Kluyveromyces lactis: one gene and its partners. The protein of the gene in region 2 interacts with the protein of the main gene of each other region in a pairwise test. Links are inferred from orthologs where the notes say so. Each region holds a gene or a part of one and is shown on either strand. Other genes may lie near its edges. The genes, in order: HDA2, MAD1, MAD2 and ATG17.

Region 1 (4,240 bases), on a different chromosome or scaffold from region 2:
AATGTCTAAACCCATCACAATCCATTGCATTTGTTTTCGGACCCTGTACAGTAGCACCAGGTAAGGTTATCTCAATGGACCGAAAAAATCATATCAGGCAGCATAGAAATATAGAGGAAGACAAGGATGTGAAATATTGGAAACCTTCTAGAGAATTTTACAATAAAATGAGTAAGTCCTTAAAGTTTGCTCCATGCACGGTATTCGTCGCATCCATGGATCAGGTCGGAATATGGGAGATGAGATCCTGTTTGAACAACTTTATTCAATACGAATCCTTCAATGATAGAAATTTCATATATGATTGGCAGGCGTATATTCAAGGGAAAGGATGTTATGAAATAACCAGAATTGTTATCAAAACTTCTAACAAGCTATTACTGAATGGGATCTTTGGTCCAGTCTCATCCTTGAAAGACAAGGACACACATGTATCTGACACTCCAAAGGGCTTTGGAGGGTCTGGAACCTTCCGTTACAAAGGGCCAAGTAGTAATCTACCATCAATTTTGATAAGTTTATCTGTTGATACATCTCGCAGCGCTGCTGAAGCCTTGCAAGAAATGCCAGATAAATTTTCCTTTCAAATGGAATGCTACTATAAACACTTGAATCAAGAATACGTTTCTGTAGAAACGAAATTTATTCCCAGTACAACCTTACCAGGTGAACATCTTTTAACCCAAAATTTCCACTGGGATATAATGGCTGGATCCATAATGAAAAAAATATCTTTCGCTGTCTTGTTTCAAGGCAAGTTTTATGATTACGATCTAAGGTGGTGGACGTTAGAAATAGTAAAACTTCTTAAATCATTGAATGCCATCGATGTTCCTGGCATTAAATCCTTACAAGAAGTAACGTACTTTATGCAAAGATCAACTCTCTTAAGGAAGAGAAATACATCGCCTGACGAGTGGATCGTCTACCATTGGACAATTCTGAATTCCCCTTTAAGTCATATATTCAAGATGGTTAGACCCCAAGTGTATTCGACCACAGGGCTTATTCAAAATACAACTGACATCCTTAATTATGCCGAACCTTTATTGGTAGATGGTGGTAACGTCCTTGTGGTACGAGATACTTCAGTAGGAGATAGCAGAGTTGACAGTTTGAAGGCAGCTGCTGATACCATATACCACGATGGAAGTCGATTTCCAAAGCCTTGGTATCGAGAAACCAAGCCAGGTGCTAGTCAGGATAGATTTGTAATTGCACGACTAGGCTTAACTGCAGAACATTCTTTGCATTCTGATGACCTCACGCTTGATAAATACATGGCACTGTTTAAATCAAAAAGTACTGCATGAAAAGTATGTAATCATTCATTTTACCTCTCAACAGATATCATGAACTCTATATATATATAACCAAAACCAAAAGGTTAGAATAGTTCCCCATTTACTGTCGCAACCTTCGAATCTATCGCTCCCCCTTTGAATAACAATTGTATGGCAGGAAAAGATACTATGTACGTATTCCTTGGTTTCTCCATCTGTCGCTTTTCAAAAATGACATATTTCATTTTTTAAAAGATACTATATAATTAAATCTAACCATTCTTTCCGAATAGCACATTAAAAGCCAGAGTCCAGAGGAAAAGAAAGAGAAACTGCAAGCGCGAGCCATTGGGTCGTTTCATTAGGGAAAGAAAGATGAACTCCACTTCCAACCGGACTCAGGTATTTTATATACCTGTTGGCCTAACTCAAGTTCAGAAAGATTTGTTGGAAATTTTAATCTCGATACATGCAGAGTCGTTTGTCTCATGTGTAGATAAACGTCTACTGCCAGAACTACAATCTAAATTAGAAAAAAAAGGGACAAATCTCAAAAGAGACTTGAGTATGACTGCATTAACAGATGTTCAGTTAACTGAATGGTTCTTCGAAAATATAAGAGCTGTCTCGAATCACCCTTGCCTGTTAGTTGAGCATTATATGCCTAGACAGTTTTTGTTAATGGAACCAACTGAAAGGTTGATATACACCAGCGATAAATTTGGCAAGTTAAATCTAATGGTTGATCTTTTATTGAATCGTAAGGACAAATCGAGGCCATTGCAAGTTGCTATCATTTCACATTCTGTGAAAGAATTGGATTTGATTGAAGGCGTCATGTTGGGAAAAGTTGCAAAGTTGAAGAGGTTATCTGGAACTTCTTTGTTTGACGAAAAACATGAATATGACGATCAAACTTCTGGTTCAAGAACAACCAATGGTGAAAATTCATCAAGTTCTGGTAGCGTAGCTCCTGAGCAAATCGGAAAATCGAAAGATGAATACAACTACTCTAAGTCAAGACGTAAGAATAACATATCTCAACTTGACTGGTTGTTTTTGGCAACAACCACACATTTGACACACTCTGAAGATTTACTTTCTAGGTACAATCTGGATCTTATCATCAGTTTTGATCCAATGCTGGACGAATCGTTACCATCGATATTCAAAGTCAGGAAAAATGGCAGAAAAACTCCTCTGTTTAAGCTATTGGTCCAAGATTCTCCGGATCACTATTTGTTATCCAAAAAGAAGCCAACTACTACTTCCGAAAAGCTAATTTTGGATTCCATTGTTCATTTTCTAAAGTATCGTGCCGATATCAAAGATCTTATTTCTTTACAACAATATGAAAATATTATTGACTCATTGATCAAAGAGACGGACCCTGGTGAATTTCTCCCAAGTGTAAATCCAGGAAGTTCGAGAAATAATGATGATTTGATTCCTTTTCTAACTAACCCAATGGAATTGATGCCTCTAACTTACGGAAAATATGAATTAAGGCTACAATCAGGACCAATGGACATTAAAAATTATCAGTATATTTTAAAAACACTCACGGCAGAACGACTCAAACAATGCCATGTAGAATATGAAGAGCGTGAAAAACTAGTCCTCAAGACCAGATTGAAAGAAACTAAAAGGTTAAATGACTTTGATGATTTGAAGGTGAATATCGGACAACATTTCAAAAAACTCAAAGAAAATGAAACCAAAATCAACGACTCTGAAAAACGCGTTGAAAGAACAAGATCTGAGTTGGAAGTTTTAGAAGAACGTCTAAAGAGCTTGGTTGAACGCAAATCCGAGCTTGTAAGGCTCTTAACTCTCGAAGATATTGCAAAAGAAATTGAAAATCAGAAGCAACAACATACCAAGCTATCAGATGAAGTTTCTTCCTTCAAGAAGAGTAACGATGAAGAGTCCTTTAAGAATGACGATTTGAGATCTAGCTACCAACAAAAATCGTCTGAGGCTGCTTCAGAAGTGCTAAAGACTTCAGCTCTGAAAGCTGAGAAAGAGGAGTTGGAACGCCAATTGAATGGACCTTTCACCAAGTGGGAACTTATTATATTGCAAGAAAAAGAAGCACAACTCAAATCTTCCTTACGCAAAATGGTACAGCAGTCTCAATTCCTAATACAATACATGAACCGAATACAAGGCCAATACAACATTGAAAACGAACCTGCAAAAAAATCATCTCCGGCAACGAACAACTCGTCAAGGTACACTACAAGAACTACCAGGGCTACTTCTCCTACGTACACATAAGTATTACTCCTTCTAGGATACATCCAGACCAAACCATCTCTCAACTACTGCATGCAATATACTGATATCTGAAAGCCTGTCAGATTCTGGTAAACACAAGCTTGCTTGCAAAATTGTAACACTAGCGCAATTACTCCTCTATATAGACCAGTTTGTATTATGTGAGTCAATAGTGACTTGTTCATTCTAATTTCGACATGACCACCCTAACTGCGGCAGTAACGGATCGGCATAACCATATTCAGTTGAAACTGGAACATAGAATTTGAGCTTTTTTTTTCGTACTTTTCGGATTTTAAAGACCTTTACTGATTCGTCTGGTATTTTGCATATAGGGTAGAAAATAAGAACTTTTAGTAGATTTTATGTCTTGCTCTCAAATTGAAAGCAGAAACTAAGGGTATACAGTTCTTTTTTTTTTCTTACCATTGCGTTGTATTGAGCTGACTCCCACAAAATAATAACACTTTAATCTTGGCTACTGTTAAACTCTGAACTTGATTTTGATACAAGTTTTCTGATAATGGGAAAGATGAGTTTCATTGAAGGATTGCAGAAGCGCTTTTTTTTAGGATATTCATACAAATACAACACGTTCGAACTTGATCCTATTATACTGGCAACTTCTATCAAGGTGGCAGTTTTAGATTATTTTCGGAATACGCCTTGGTATTGGA
Region 2 (4,538 bases):
CGTTTTTTATATGCACCGGGAGTTTCAAATTTCCGCTGTGACCACAATCCACGTTTTGCCTTCTTTGAGTTTAACTCCTCATATAAGTAAATATCCTCTTGGTTATCAAATTCAGCGCCAACTTTTCCCTCATAAACAACGCCTACTCCCTCTTTTAGCATTTCAATACTAATATTCTGCCATCCCTTCAACCAGGACCACAATTCAACCCGTGCAACACATCTGCCGTATTGGTCAACGGCCAATGGCTTAACCCAGACGTACTGTCCCAAAATCTTGTACCTTAGCCAGTTTAGTGCCTCATCACTAAAAGGCTGAGCTGTTTTTCCGAAATGCGATCTTTCTGGAGCATCCACACCACATAAACGAACAGAAATGGTAGGAAGATTTCTTCTGCCCTTATATGGCACATGTAAACTCATGAAATGACTCTTATAGTTAGCTACTTTGGCACTGAATAGTTTGTTCCACCAACGAACTGATTGTGGTACTTCAACAGAAGCGTCGAACGCTACTGTTTGTAACTCAGGAATGGACCTTAACCATCCCCAGCCGCCAAAAATACCGCTTGGAGTATGAAAGAAATGGAAATTATCACCATCTCCCACAGATGTTACTTTACCATATAGCCATTGCTTCTTGAATATCGCTTCCGGTATATCTTTGGCAGATTTATACTGTCTAAGGTGCTTATTGTAAAAAGAAGTAGCAGTTAAAACACCACCAGTCAATAATATAGAAAATAGTAGGACTGTAGGATAGAAATAATGGGTAGCATTATTTGTAACAGTACGCTGTTCAGTCATACCTCAATCATCGGTTGATGAACTGCTGCGGTTCGGTATTGTGATAGGAAGTGATGTCATATAATATCCCCGACAATCCAAGTTTGTATATATGTCTGAATCTTTTTTCGTCAAGTTGATCCATATGTAAATAGAGAGATATTTGCACATACTAGTATATACAATGAATTAAAATATGTTGATTTACACTGAGTCCTGCCTTCTTGTGACGCGCAGCTAAGGCTGAGATAGTTCCCACAGTCTAAGCTTTACTTGGGAGAGAAACGCTGGCAACTCTCCCTTTTCTATAACGTACAATTGAAATAACGTTTCCCATTCAGGAATAACTTTATCTAGATCCGATTTTAACGTATTCGATTGTAAATCGGCAATAATATATTTGTTCGGTTGATAACAGCTTACTAATTTTACTTTACCATGTGCCAAGAATTCTAGTTTAAATCCTAACAGTGAATTAACGGCCTCAATGAACTCTAACGATTTCTTATTGAATACTTCTTTTAGTCTTGTGGTCTTCTTATTTGCAGAGAAAATCTCTTTCTCAAGTAGTTTCATGTCGTGTTTGATACGATCATAAACAGATCTTGGGATGGCATCTGTTTCTATCCCAGATAATAGATCGGAGTTTTCCTTTTCAAGTAATGCCAACTTTTCCTTTCTGATATAATGCTCTTTTAACAATGGATTATCACGAAGTTGTAAAATTCTAACCTTCTTCTCTTTAAGACTAGTCAAGTCCAAAATTTTTTGTTCTAGGATATTCGCATGATTTTTAGTCGCAGAAAGTAATCTCTCCAGTTTTTTGTTCTCCAGTATTAGCTCATTTAATCTTTGAGAATAGCTTATTCCCAAATCATTGGTTATTTTTCTACGTTTTTGAATCTTATCGTCAGTTTTTGATAATTCTTCGTTCAATCTCTTGAGCTCATTGGTTAGATCCTCAGTTTGATTTTTGTACCCTTCGATGATGTTTGAAGCATTTACCTGGTCTCCGGGTGTTTTCTTCTTATCGTCTTGCTCCTCAAATTCCTCTAATTGTTGCCTTAGTAGTTTACACTCTTCAAATGACAAAAGTTTTTGTTGTTCAAGTTCATGATTTAAACGCTTCAAATTCAAAATACTAGTTTCATAGTCTTTGTTCAAATCTAGAAGTTGGTTTCTTTCAATTGCCATCTCATCGTTGAGCATGGACATTTGATTGAAATCAATTTGTAACTTGGAATTCGTATCTAAAAGGAAAGTATTTTCTCGTTGTAACATATTAAGCTCTGTTATAACATCGTTAGGGTTCTTGAATTTACCGTCTAACCTAACAATACCCCATTGTGTAATCTTCTCCTGTAGGCTGATATTCTCCATTTCCAATGATTCGAACTTTTTTTGTAAAGAATTCAATTGATCGAGTTTAGACTGGAGTAATTCATTTTCCTTTTTCAACAACGATTGGACATCGTTATTTTGTCGAAGCTTCTTCAATTCAGTGGCTTGTTTAAGGTTCATATCCTCTAGTTCTTTGGCATAATTGAGCTGCTCCTTCAGAGTCTTGTTCAAGACAGCCAAATCTTGTAATTCTTCCGTAGAATTGTTCCTATGAGACGCAGAAGTTTGAACTGATCGTAGTTCAGATATCAGATTTTCTTTTTCCTTCAGTTCTTGTTGTAAATATCGTATCTCTTCCACATGTTTGTTTATCTGAGTTTCATGTTGATGCAGAATGTTTCCGCTACCTTCAATTTCCAACTTCATCGATTCAATTGCATTCGTAACTTCATTTTGTTTTGAGGAAAGCTTATGAGCTAATTCCACGATACGCTGCTCTTTCAAATTAACTTCGTTTTTCAAACTTACAACCTGTGTTCGAAGTGTCGTTATGATCTTCTCATCCTCCTTCGGTAACGCATCCTTACTTTTCAATTCTTCCTTCAACTTGATGTTTTCCTCATATAGTATCTTGGTATCTTTCAAAGCATTTTCCAGTTCGTTCATACTCTTATCGTATTTGTTCTGAAGCGAATAAGTCTCGCGTTCTGATGACAACTTCGAAATTTCATACTCGTTCTGTAAGGTTGTGTATTTGTACTGAAGCGTTAAAACGCGACGTCTCAACTGATCTGCATCTAGCGATTCAAGGGGCTTTTCCTTTATCTGAGGTGTTAGTGACATATAATACACAATTGAGTTTGACACAATTGCAAGACACTATTGGCATGAAGCATTCTTTAAGTTCCCCTAAGATCACTTAATGGATCAAGATCAAAGTCAAGATTTTCGCTATAAAATTATAAAATCAGAATGAAATGAAGAAACGTTTAAATCATCCCCTTTAAAGATGATCAAGAAAGGGGACGGGGATCAAAAGCTCACACCGCTAACTAACCAGACTGTTCTTACTATGTCTAAAGTGTACGTTCATTCGAATTCTTTTACTTTCATGCGATACCCATGCCTATAACAACCCTTTCAGAATTTTACTAACCGCACTATGGCATACATATTTCACTAGACCAAGAAGTTTCAGACTACTAGAAGAGCTAGAGAAGGGAGAAAAAGGACTGGGTCCAGAATCTTGTTCCTATGGTCTTTCTGACTCCGATGATATCACAATGACAAAGTGGAACGGTACCATACTTGGTCCTCCTCATAGCAACCATGAAAACAGAATATATTCAGTGCTCATCGAATGCGGGCCCTCATATCCAGACGAACCACCTAAGGTGAAATTCGTATCGAAGATCAACCTGCCATGTGTCAATTCTACCACCGGAGAGGTCGTCAAAGAGAAATTCCATACTTTGAAGGAATGGAAAAGATCCTATACCATGGAAACTGTCTTATTGGAGCTACGTAAGGAAATGGCAACACCATCGAACAAAAAATTGTTACAACCACAAGAGGGAACGACGTTTGAGTGAAATTACAGCAGGTACTAAATGTATATATACACATGAGAGTAAATAAGTATAAAGTTGTGTATTTGGCGCAACTGGTTTGGGGGCCCTTTTGGGCTCCCAAAAGTTTTCGTACGCATAATAAGCATATTGTCCAATGTATAATGAAGCAACGCCTGCCGATGTGCCCTCCACTCAAAAGTATCATCTTGCTTAAGAGAAGTCAGGTCCTGTTTTAGATCATGATCCACTCAATTGCACTGTTCTCTAAGTAAATTAGTTCAAACAAGGTTCGAAGAGATTTGCTGGTTTGAATTTCTCATCAAACCACCAGATTTACAACCACCACCAGATCGATAGTAAAGCCGGTTTTTTCGCCCAAGTGCCTGTAAATAGAAAAAGGCCTAGGTCAACCGTTCCGATTCTTACTCTTCTTCGCAGAGTCACACGCACAAAAGGGGTCTACATTTTGGTCCTGCTCCTAACACTCTTCTTTCGACTGTTTCTTTCATCCAGAGAAACTTTCAATTTGGAAGACTTTGCAGTGAACTTTCATATAAATGAATCATAAGAATTCATTATTTCAAATTGTTTCCTAACGAAAAGAGTTTACAAAGGTTTTAGTAGTGGTCCGTAGTAGTGTTTCTACAGACTACAGTTCATTGGATACAGACTGTATTCGGCAATTGCAGAGTAGGAGACAGAAGATTAGGTGATTAGAAGTGATTTCATTTGTTTTTTTTTTGTTTAACGATTAGCAAGAGATATGGTGATACTTCTCAGAGGAAGGTTAAATGTTCCTAGCATTTGGTCACTGGCCCGTCAGCAGCATGTTTCAGGTTTG
Region 3 (2,895 bases), on a different chromosome or scaffold from region 2:
GAAACAAAATGGCCCAATGTTCGATATAATTTATTTGAAACGGATGCGGCTTCTTTTCATGAAGCGTATTTCGATATTCTAAATTTTTATATCAATGTCTTCGATGCATGTGATTTAAAAGACCATGAAACTGTCAAATCTTTAAACCTAAAGATTGAAACATTCATTGAAATAAAAAAGACCGCTGGCCCTGAGCAGGGACTAAAGGTTGATCCAATAGCATTAGATAAAGACGATTACGTGTCAAAGGAACGGAACTTTGCTGTGAAAGAAAGAAGATATGTTTTGAACCAGAACTCTCTTCAAGAAGAATCGATATCTACCAAAAAAAGATCTATCAGTGAGGTTGAATGAGATCTTCATATTCATGTAATAATACAATCATTTCATAGAGCTCTTATTTGGTATAAATACCTATTTTTCCTCAAGGGATCGATAATTATCAACTTATCAAGATATTCTCTAGATTTTGATTTTATATCTTCCTTGAGGATATCTTTTTGAATGAACTCAATCACAAGTAGTGTCTTTAGACACCAAATATTATCCTTTCCAGAGAAACTAATATCATCATCGTTTATAAGTTCAATGATCTCGGTTAGTTCTTTTAGCATACTGCTATACTTTTCTGACGTCATATGCTCTTTTAGTGCACTCTCTTTAATAAACCAGATCAGATACGTCCAGACAGATTGATCTTCAGCATCAGTGAACATGGCATTCTTTATGTACTGAAATTCATCGTCGATGAAGGACTCTTTGTCAGCTATTTGATCTCTCGCCAGCATATGTTCAATTATATTCGTTCGTTGGAACCACGCGCTAAAGTTAGAGATATTTTGATTTATTTTCGCGGTTGTGTATTCAAACTCTTGTGAATTTAGACAGTTTCCGCTTAAGCGTTCTACTGTGCTTACGATGTATCTTCTGTAATGCCATCCATGGAAATTTCTCGCATCCATTTCCAGTAATTTGCCAACAATGGCTAATTCTTTCAACCAGATTTTCAAGGGAGAATTAGGATAATGCTCTAAACACCAAACCCTGTGATTCCATATCCAGTATACTTTTGGACGAACCTTCAATTTGTCCATAGTGAAAGCAAGTTCCCCATCCCAGAAAGTTTGATCCAGTGATGGGGCAAGTAGTTTTATAATTTCACGTCTATAATTCCAGATGGTGTTGAATTCTGGATTGATATTAAGTAACTGGGTAGTCTTCAGAAGAGAGTCCTTGTTTGCTACTCTTTTATTCTTCAATTCTAAAACCTCATCTGATAATTCTCGATAATCGAGGATTTCCTGTCTCTCCTTCTCGCGCTTCTTCCTTAATAACTCCTTTGTCCACTCTCTTCGTGTAACACCATGCTGAATTCATTTCAATTTGTAAATGTTAGTAATCTGCAATTGTATATTATGAGAATCTTCTTTGAAAAGAGTGCCGAGGTCTGCCATACCATTATTTGTCCTCGAGTCTCTGTGGAATTGAGTTTAACGTTCTGATTTGCTGTTCATCATAATCATAACTTATAAGTTTGAATGTTAATTATAAAAAATAGTAGTTTAAAATGAGCTCAATAACATATGTTTTTTGAACTTGCTTCGACGAACAAGGATTCAGAAGAGACTGGAAAGTAAAATTGGAAACATGGATTTGATATCATTAAAAGGTTCGACACGAATTGTTACTGAGTTCTTTGAATATAGTATAAATTCAATATTATATCAACGAGCAGTATACCCGGCAGAAGACTTCGCTACAGTTAAGAAGTATGATTTGAGCTTATTAAAAACACAAGATACAGAACTTAAACAATACATACGGGAAATTCTCCGGCAGGTTCATAGGTGGTTATTGGGAGGTAAATGTCACCAGCTTGTTCTGTGTATAGTAGATAAGGATGATGGTGAAACAATTGAAAGATGGAAGTTTAACGTAGATTCTCACAGCAACAAGAACGATACTGATGATGATATGAACATTCCATTAGAGGAAACCCAAAAGGAGATTCGGGCAGTACTTAGACAGATAACAGCCAGTGTCACTTTCTTGCCCGAATTGAAAAATGAAGGTAACTATACTTTCAATGTTTTGGCCTATACTGATAGTAATGCGAATGTTCCACTAGAATGGACAGATTCTGATTCAAAAGAAATAGCGAAGGGGGAATCTGTGCAATTCAAGTCTTTCGGTACATCGGCCTATTCAGTGGGAGCTGAAGTCACTTATAAGTTCTAACAAAATTAATGGCTGAACTTATTGCATTTCCTTTTAATACTTATGCTACAAATAGGAACAAGATATAGTAGAAAAGGCACATAATACTTAATTCAACTCGAGAAAGCTCATACTAATTCAATCATCTTGGTGTCTTTTCCAAACTTCTATCCAAATCTTGAGATGTTCAATTAGCTTTTGTCTTAAGAGTCCTTCGCATTCTTCCTGCATAAATGGGAAAAGGTTGGACAATAAGCACGTTTTGAACAACTTTAATTTTGACACGGCTGCCATATCAACCCTCAACTCTTCTTTAACTCTAAGAAGAGCAGTAAAATCGAGTTTAATGTTGTCTGACTCTGCTGCTATTTGGATTATATCCTGAATTATTGCTATTTCATTTGCTAGATTTACGGTGTATCCATTATCCAATTTGACTGAGAGATATGTCAGCCTATCATAAAGCGGTTCGGCCACAAACTCAGGTATATCAAGTTCTTTTACTATTTGAAACTCTTTGCGCTCTTCAGCTAATTCATCAAAAATATCGTAAACTTGTTTTGGGTCAAACGTATCATTCAAATCGGTTCTGATCAATTCCACAGGAAACATCAGAGCAAAATGTGATTCACCAACAACATCTATAAACATATCAATTTCCTTAAACTCAGCATCTGT
Region 4 (3,892 bases), on a different chromosome or scaffold from region 2:
CGTCAAGAGATTCAAAAATGTTTGGAGCTGGTGGATATGTGTTATACAAAAGTGTTCCCAATATCGGGTGATTCAAAGCAGGCAGCGTACTCATTGACCCTCTCTACTCGTCCTGAGAAGTACGTTGGCGATATTGAAGTATGGGATCATGCTGAAGATGTATTAAAGGATACTTTGCAATCGTGGGGGCAACCATGGACAACCAATGAAGGAGATGGTGCCTTCTACGGTCCTAAGATTGACATTTTAGTCAATGATCATACAGGCAAATCACATCAAGTCGCCACTATTCAATTAGATTTTCAATTGCCAGAAAGATTCGATTTACAATTCAAGGACAAGGATAATAGTTACAAGAGACCTATCATGATTCATAGGGCTGTTTTCGGTTCGGTGGAAAGATTCATGGCCATTTTAATTGATTCAAGCAAAGGTAAATGGCCGTTTTGGTTGAATCCAAACCAATGTATGGTCATCCCAGTGAAGACTGAAGATGAGAAGATAATGGAATTGGCTTTCAAGACAGTCAACTCATTACGTGGTGAAAATAGTGATCCAAAAAGCCCAATTCCACTCAACAGCTTCCATTTCTCTGTTGATATGGATGCAAGAGATGAATCTGTAAGTAAAAGAATTAGAGAAGCCATCAAGAAGCATTATTCTTATATTATAATGATTGGTGACAAAGAAGTTGAAGCAGGCAAGGTGGCGATTAGAACCAGGGAGTCGAAGAAAGTGGATTTACTAACTATCGATGATGTCTTTGAAAGGTTCGTCGATCTTGAGAAAAATTATAAATGATACCTTGCAATTTTTGAACCACAGAAAGTAATGTTAACCATAACGATGTAAAAGATAATTTATACCTGTAAATATGTATACTTATGTATCAATAATAACACAATACCGTCAATTCGGTACATTATGTATGCTATATTCGAAACTATACATCGATTCCATATCGTCGATATAACCTGGCCAGATGTTTTCGGGAAGATAGTCACCATTTTCAAGTAAAAATTGCTGGCGTTGGTCCAAGTCAGCATCACTCAGTGCCTGTAGTTTCTCCTGACATTCCTTTAATATTTTCTCCATTTGTAACGCAGTGGCTTTCCGTCTGTCTCTTTCTCGTAGAAGGTTTTTATACCCTAATTTGAACTTATCGTAAAACTCACAGAGTTGTTGCACTTGTTCAATCTTTTTTATGCAAGATTCCTTATAAACGAATACTAAATTAGCAATCTTTTGGAAGATAGATAAGTATTCCTCACATTTTTCTAACTCTGTCACAATCTTGGAAGCCAGCAGATGGAATCCACCAATTTTGTCCATTATTTCACTTATTGTTTCATTGACTTTCTTTGAGAAAGCTTTCACTTCAAGTCCCGTTTCGAATACTAATTCCCTTATATTTTCTAACTGTGTATCGTCTTTCTTTACAATCTGGAAAAGTTCCTTCAAATCTGGTAGTGGAATCTGCTGTTCCTTCAATATCGTGCATTTGTCGAAATGATCAGTGATTGATCTCAAGAAATCGGCAAGTTCATTCTCAAATTCGTTCAATTCAGTGACATAATCACTTTCCAACAATTTGAATAGATTATTTTTGCTATCCCTGCTGAAATGTGAATCAAAGTAAGTTCTGAGTTTTTTCAACTTTACAGCCACTAGTTGGTTTTCTATTCGATCTTTTATCGATTTGTAGTGTTGTCGTATGTTTGTCACTTGTTGTTTTATAATAGGAATCTCATCGATTTTTTGTTGTAGTATGTCTACGTGATCCATGCATATGAAATCTGAAAGGCTACTGTGATCGTCAGTCAAGTCGTATTTTGTACCCTGCAAGATCTTCATCTTTGTTGTTATCTCGTTTTGCCAATAACTCACGTCATTGACTATCTCGACTAAAACCAGCTTTGACCATTCATTGTCAATCAACTCTGTAGAAATACATTTCTCGAGCATGATATTCTTGAAGAACTCAACCTGGTTCACCAAACAATTAAGTATAAATTTAAGTTTAAATCTGGACTTTTGAGAGCTGTCCATTTCAGTTCGCACTTTAGAGAGGATTTTTAATGATTCTTCACATTCGACTTGAGCTTCCACAAGCTGGTTTCTCGCCTTATTCCACAATTTATCTATCTCATCACTGGGTATAGTAGTTGCAGCATCACTCATTTCTTGTAGACGCAGTTCAGATCAACCGAAAGATCTTCATCTCTTCAACGTTTCCAATTTGAAACCCTTAAACGGTCAATTTCACTTCGAAGACTGAACTTCAAACCTTTAAATCTTTTCAAAGTATGAATAAATACCTATTAATCGGAGTAAAGATTGAAAGGAGTATCAGTCACTCCAAGTCAGCTATTACTACTCCAGTGATTCAGTATAGATGTCAGAACATATCAGTGACGATGATCAGTTCAAAAGAAGAAAGATCAGTATGACAATGAATAGTATGGTATTTACCGATCCATATGGATATAGCGATGACAATGAAGAACAAAAAGAAGAAGAAGACTATGAACCGGTACGACAAGCCAACTCCAATGATGGATTGAAAAGCGACCAGATGTTAAAGACCTATGGTATGGGTGCCAAGCTTTTATCAAAAATGGGTTACAAACAAGGTGAAGGTTTAGGACGAGATGGGAAAGGTATAGTGAACCCAATCGAAACAGTCACTCGTCCTAAAGGTGTCGGATTAGGGATGTTAAGTGCAGTACATGATAGAGATGACTCCAACTATAGTAATACTTCAGCATCATCAGATGAAAGTTCAAATAAAAAGAAAACAGTGGAGTTTAAGACTCGTCGTGCCACCCAGCTTGAGAAATTGATTCAAAATATAAGTCTCCTTGCGGAATTAAAAATAGAACTACCTGATACGGTGACAAGAACAATCAATGGTTCTGAATTACATGAAGAAGAGATTTCCTCTTTGAATGAAATTGCTAATAAGCTTCTGCAGCTTCATTCGGACATAGATAGAATACAAGTTGGCTTGGAAAAAGCTCAACTAGATGACGAGCGCAAAGTACACCAAGAGGAAAGGCTACAAAGTGTTTTAGAAAAAGTCAAGGAAAAACAACTTTCGCAACCAAGTCTTGAAGATCAGATTACTGAATGCCTAGAAATAAATGACGATGACATACTTGATAAGCTCTGTACCATGTTCTTGCTCAAAGAGCTTAATCGTGGAATTAATACGGCAGATATGCAGGTCGAAAAGTTGAACCATTTGAGGGCAGCAATAAGGTTTCTTTCATATAGAATGGAATCTGGATATATTTTGAACGAAACACAAAGCAGCATTTATAGGTTGGTGTATCAACCCTTATGTTATTGGTTAGATTCAAATACCGGATATTCGAGGATGCTACGTCAAATAACCGTTCAGTATTTACCTATTATTGACTTTATTAGCTGCAGGGAACACTTCCTTTCCCGCTACATTATGCCGGCTCTCGAAATACAACTTTCTCCTCAATTTCTGTCAGATGAATTCATGGTGACATACGGCGAGTTGCATCTCATTTTGGGAGAAAGGGATTTAAAGTCATTAAAAGCACTTATCCTGCTGGAGTTCGAGCAGTTTTTGAAAAATTGGGAACCTTCAATGACTGTTAACCCTCAAAACGTTATTCTCTTGAAGGAGGCAGTGGGTGACTCCAAGTTTTATGAATTAGTCAACAGGTATTGGCTTTCATCTTTCGCTGATTACTTCGATTCACACTTTCACCTGATTGACGAATTTACCGATGCAGAGAATGAAATTTACATTTCAGCTATTATTGATGTGTTGAAAGAATATAATGATTTCTTCGATTTGCCAACCAGGAATAAAGTATATAAGGTCATTAACAACTCGCTATTAAAGACCTTATTC

The links.
Region 1: the proteins of MAD1 (region 2) and HDA2 interact in a two-hybrid assay, tested with the Saccharomyces cerevisiae proteins (2 studies listed by BioGRID). The link is inferred for Kluyveromyces lactis from reciprocal best matches to the Saccharomyces cerevisiae genes MAD1 and HDA2.
Region 3: the proteins of MAD1 (region 2) and MAD2 interact in binary tests that used the Saccharomyces cerevisiae proteins (3 or more experiments, as listed by UniProt). The link is inferred for Kluyveromyces lactis from reciprocal best matches to the Saccharomyces cerevisiae genes MAD1 and MAD2.
Region 4: the proteins of MAD1 (region 2) and ATG17 interact in a two-hybrid assay, tested with the Saccharomyces cerevisiae proteins (2 studies listed by BioGRID). The link is inferred for Kluyveromyces lactis from reciprocal best matches to the Saccharomyces cerevisiae genes MAD1 and ATG17.

Annotation. Positions count from the first base shown.
Region 1 is NC_006039.1:895,698-899,937, forward strand, and holds HDA2 (Hda2p), read left to right. Parts: upstream 1-1,658; coding exon 1,659-3,563; downstream 3,564-4,240. Other genes in the region: GTPase-activating protein NEL1, read left to right, coding at 1-1,313; sphinganine-1-phosphate aldolase DPL1, read left to right, coding at 4,087-4,240. UniProt on the Saccharomyces cerevisiae protein: Required for activity of HDA1 histone deacetylase complex. The HDA1 histone deacetylase complex is responsible for the deacetylation of lysine residues on the N-terminal part of the core histones (H2A, H2B, H3 and H4).
Region 2 is NC_006041.1:1,701,897-1,706,434, reverse strand, and holds MAD1 (coiled-coil domain-containing protein MAD1), read right to left. Parts: upstream 2,970-4,538; coding exon 1,023-2,969; downstream 1-1,022. Other genes in the region: LCL3 (Lcl3p), read right to left, coding at 1-806; E2 ubiquitin-conjugating protein MMS2, read left to right, coding at 3,199-3,209, 3,310-3,718; POS5 (NADH kinase), read left to right, coding at 4,461-4,538. UniProt on the Saccharomyces cerevisiae protein: Central component of the spindle assembly checkpoint. Thought to recruit MAD2 to unattached kinetochores. During checkpoint activity, MAD2 is relayed from the MAD1-MAD2 complex to the mitotic checkpoint complex (MCC).
Region 3 is NC_006040.1:797,797-800,691, reverse strand, and holds MAD2 (spindle checkpoint protein MAD2), read left to right. Parts: upstream 1-1,647; coding exon 1,648-2,238; downstream 2,239-2,895. Other genes in the region: CTK2 (Ctk2p), read left to right, coding at 1-354; Rab geranylgeranyltransferase BET4, read right to left, coding at 387-1,367, 1,457-1,459; KLLA0_D09416g (uncharacterized protein), read right to left, coding at 2,356-2,895. UniProt on the Saccharomyces cerevisiae protein: Central component of the spindle assembly checkpoint which is a feedback control that prevents cells with incompletely assembled spindles from leaving mitosis. Thought to be recruited to unattached kinetochores by MAD1.
Region 4 is NC_006040.1:231,670-235,561, reverse strand, and holds ATG17 (protein kinase regulatory subunit ATG17), read right to left. Parts: upstream 2,182-3,892; coding exon 910-2,181; downstream 1-909. Other genes in the region: threonine--tRNA ligase MST1, read left to right, coding at 1-801; mRNA splicing protein SPP382, read left to right, coding at 2,396-3,892. UniProt on the Saccharomyces cerevisiae protein: Autophagy-specific protein that functions with ATG13, ATG29, and CIS1/ATG31 in response to autophagy-inducing signals as a scaffold to recruit other ATG proteins to organize pre-autophagosomal structure (PAS) formation.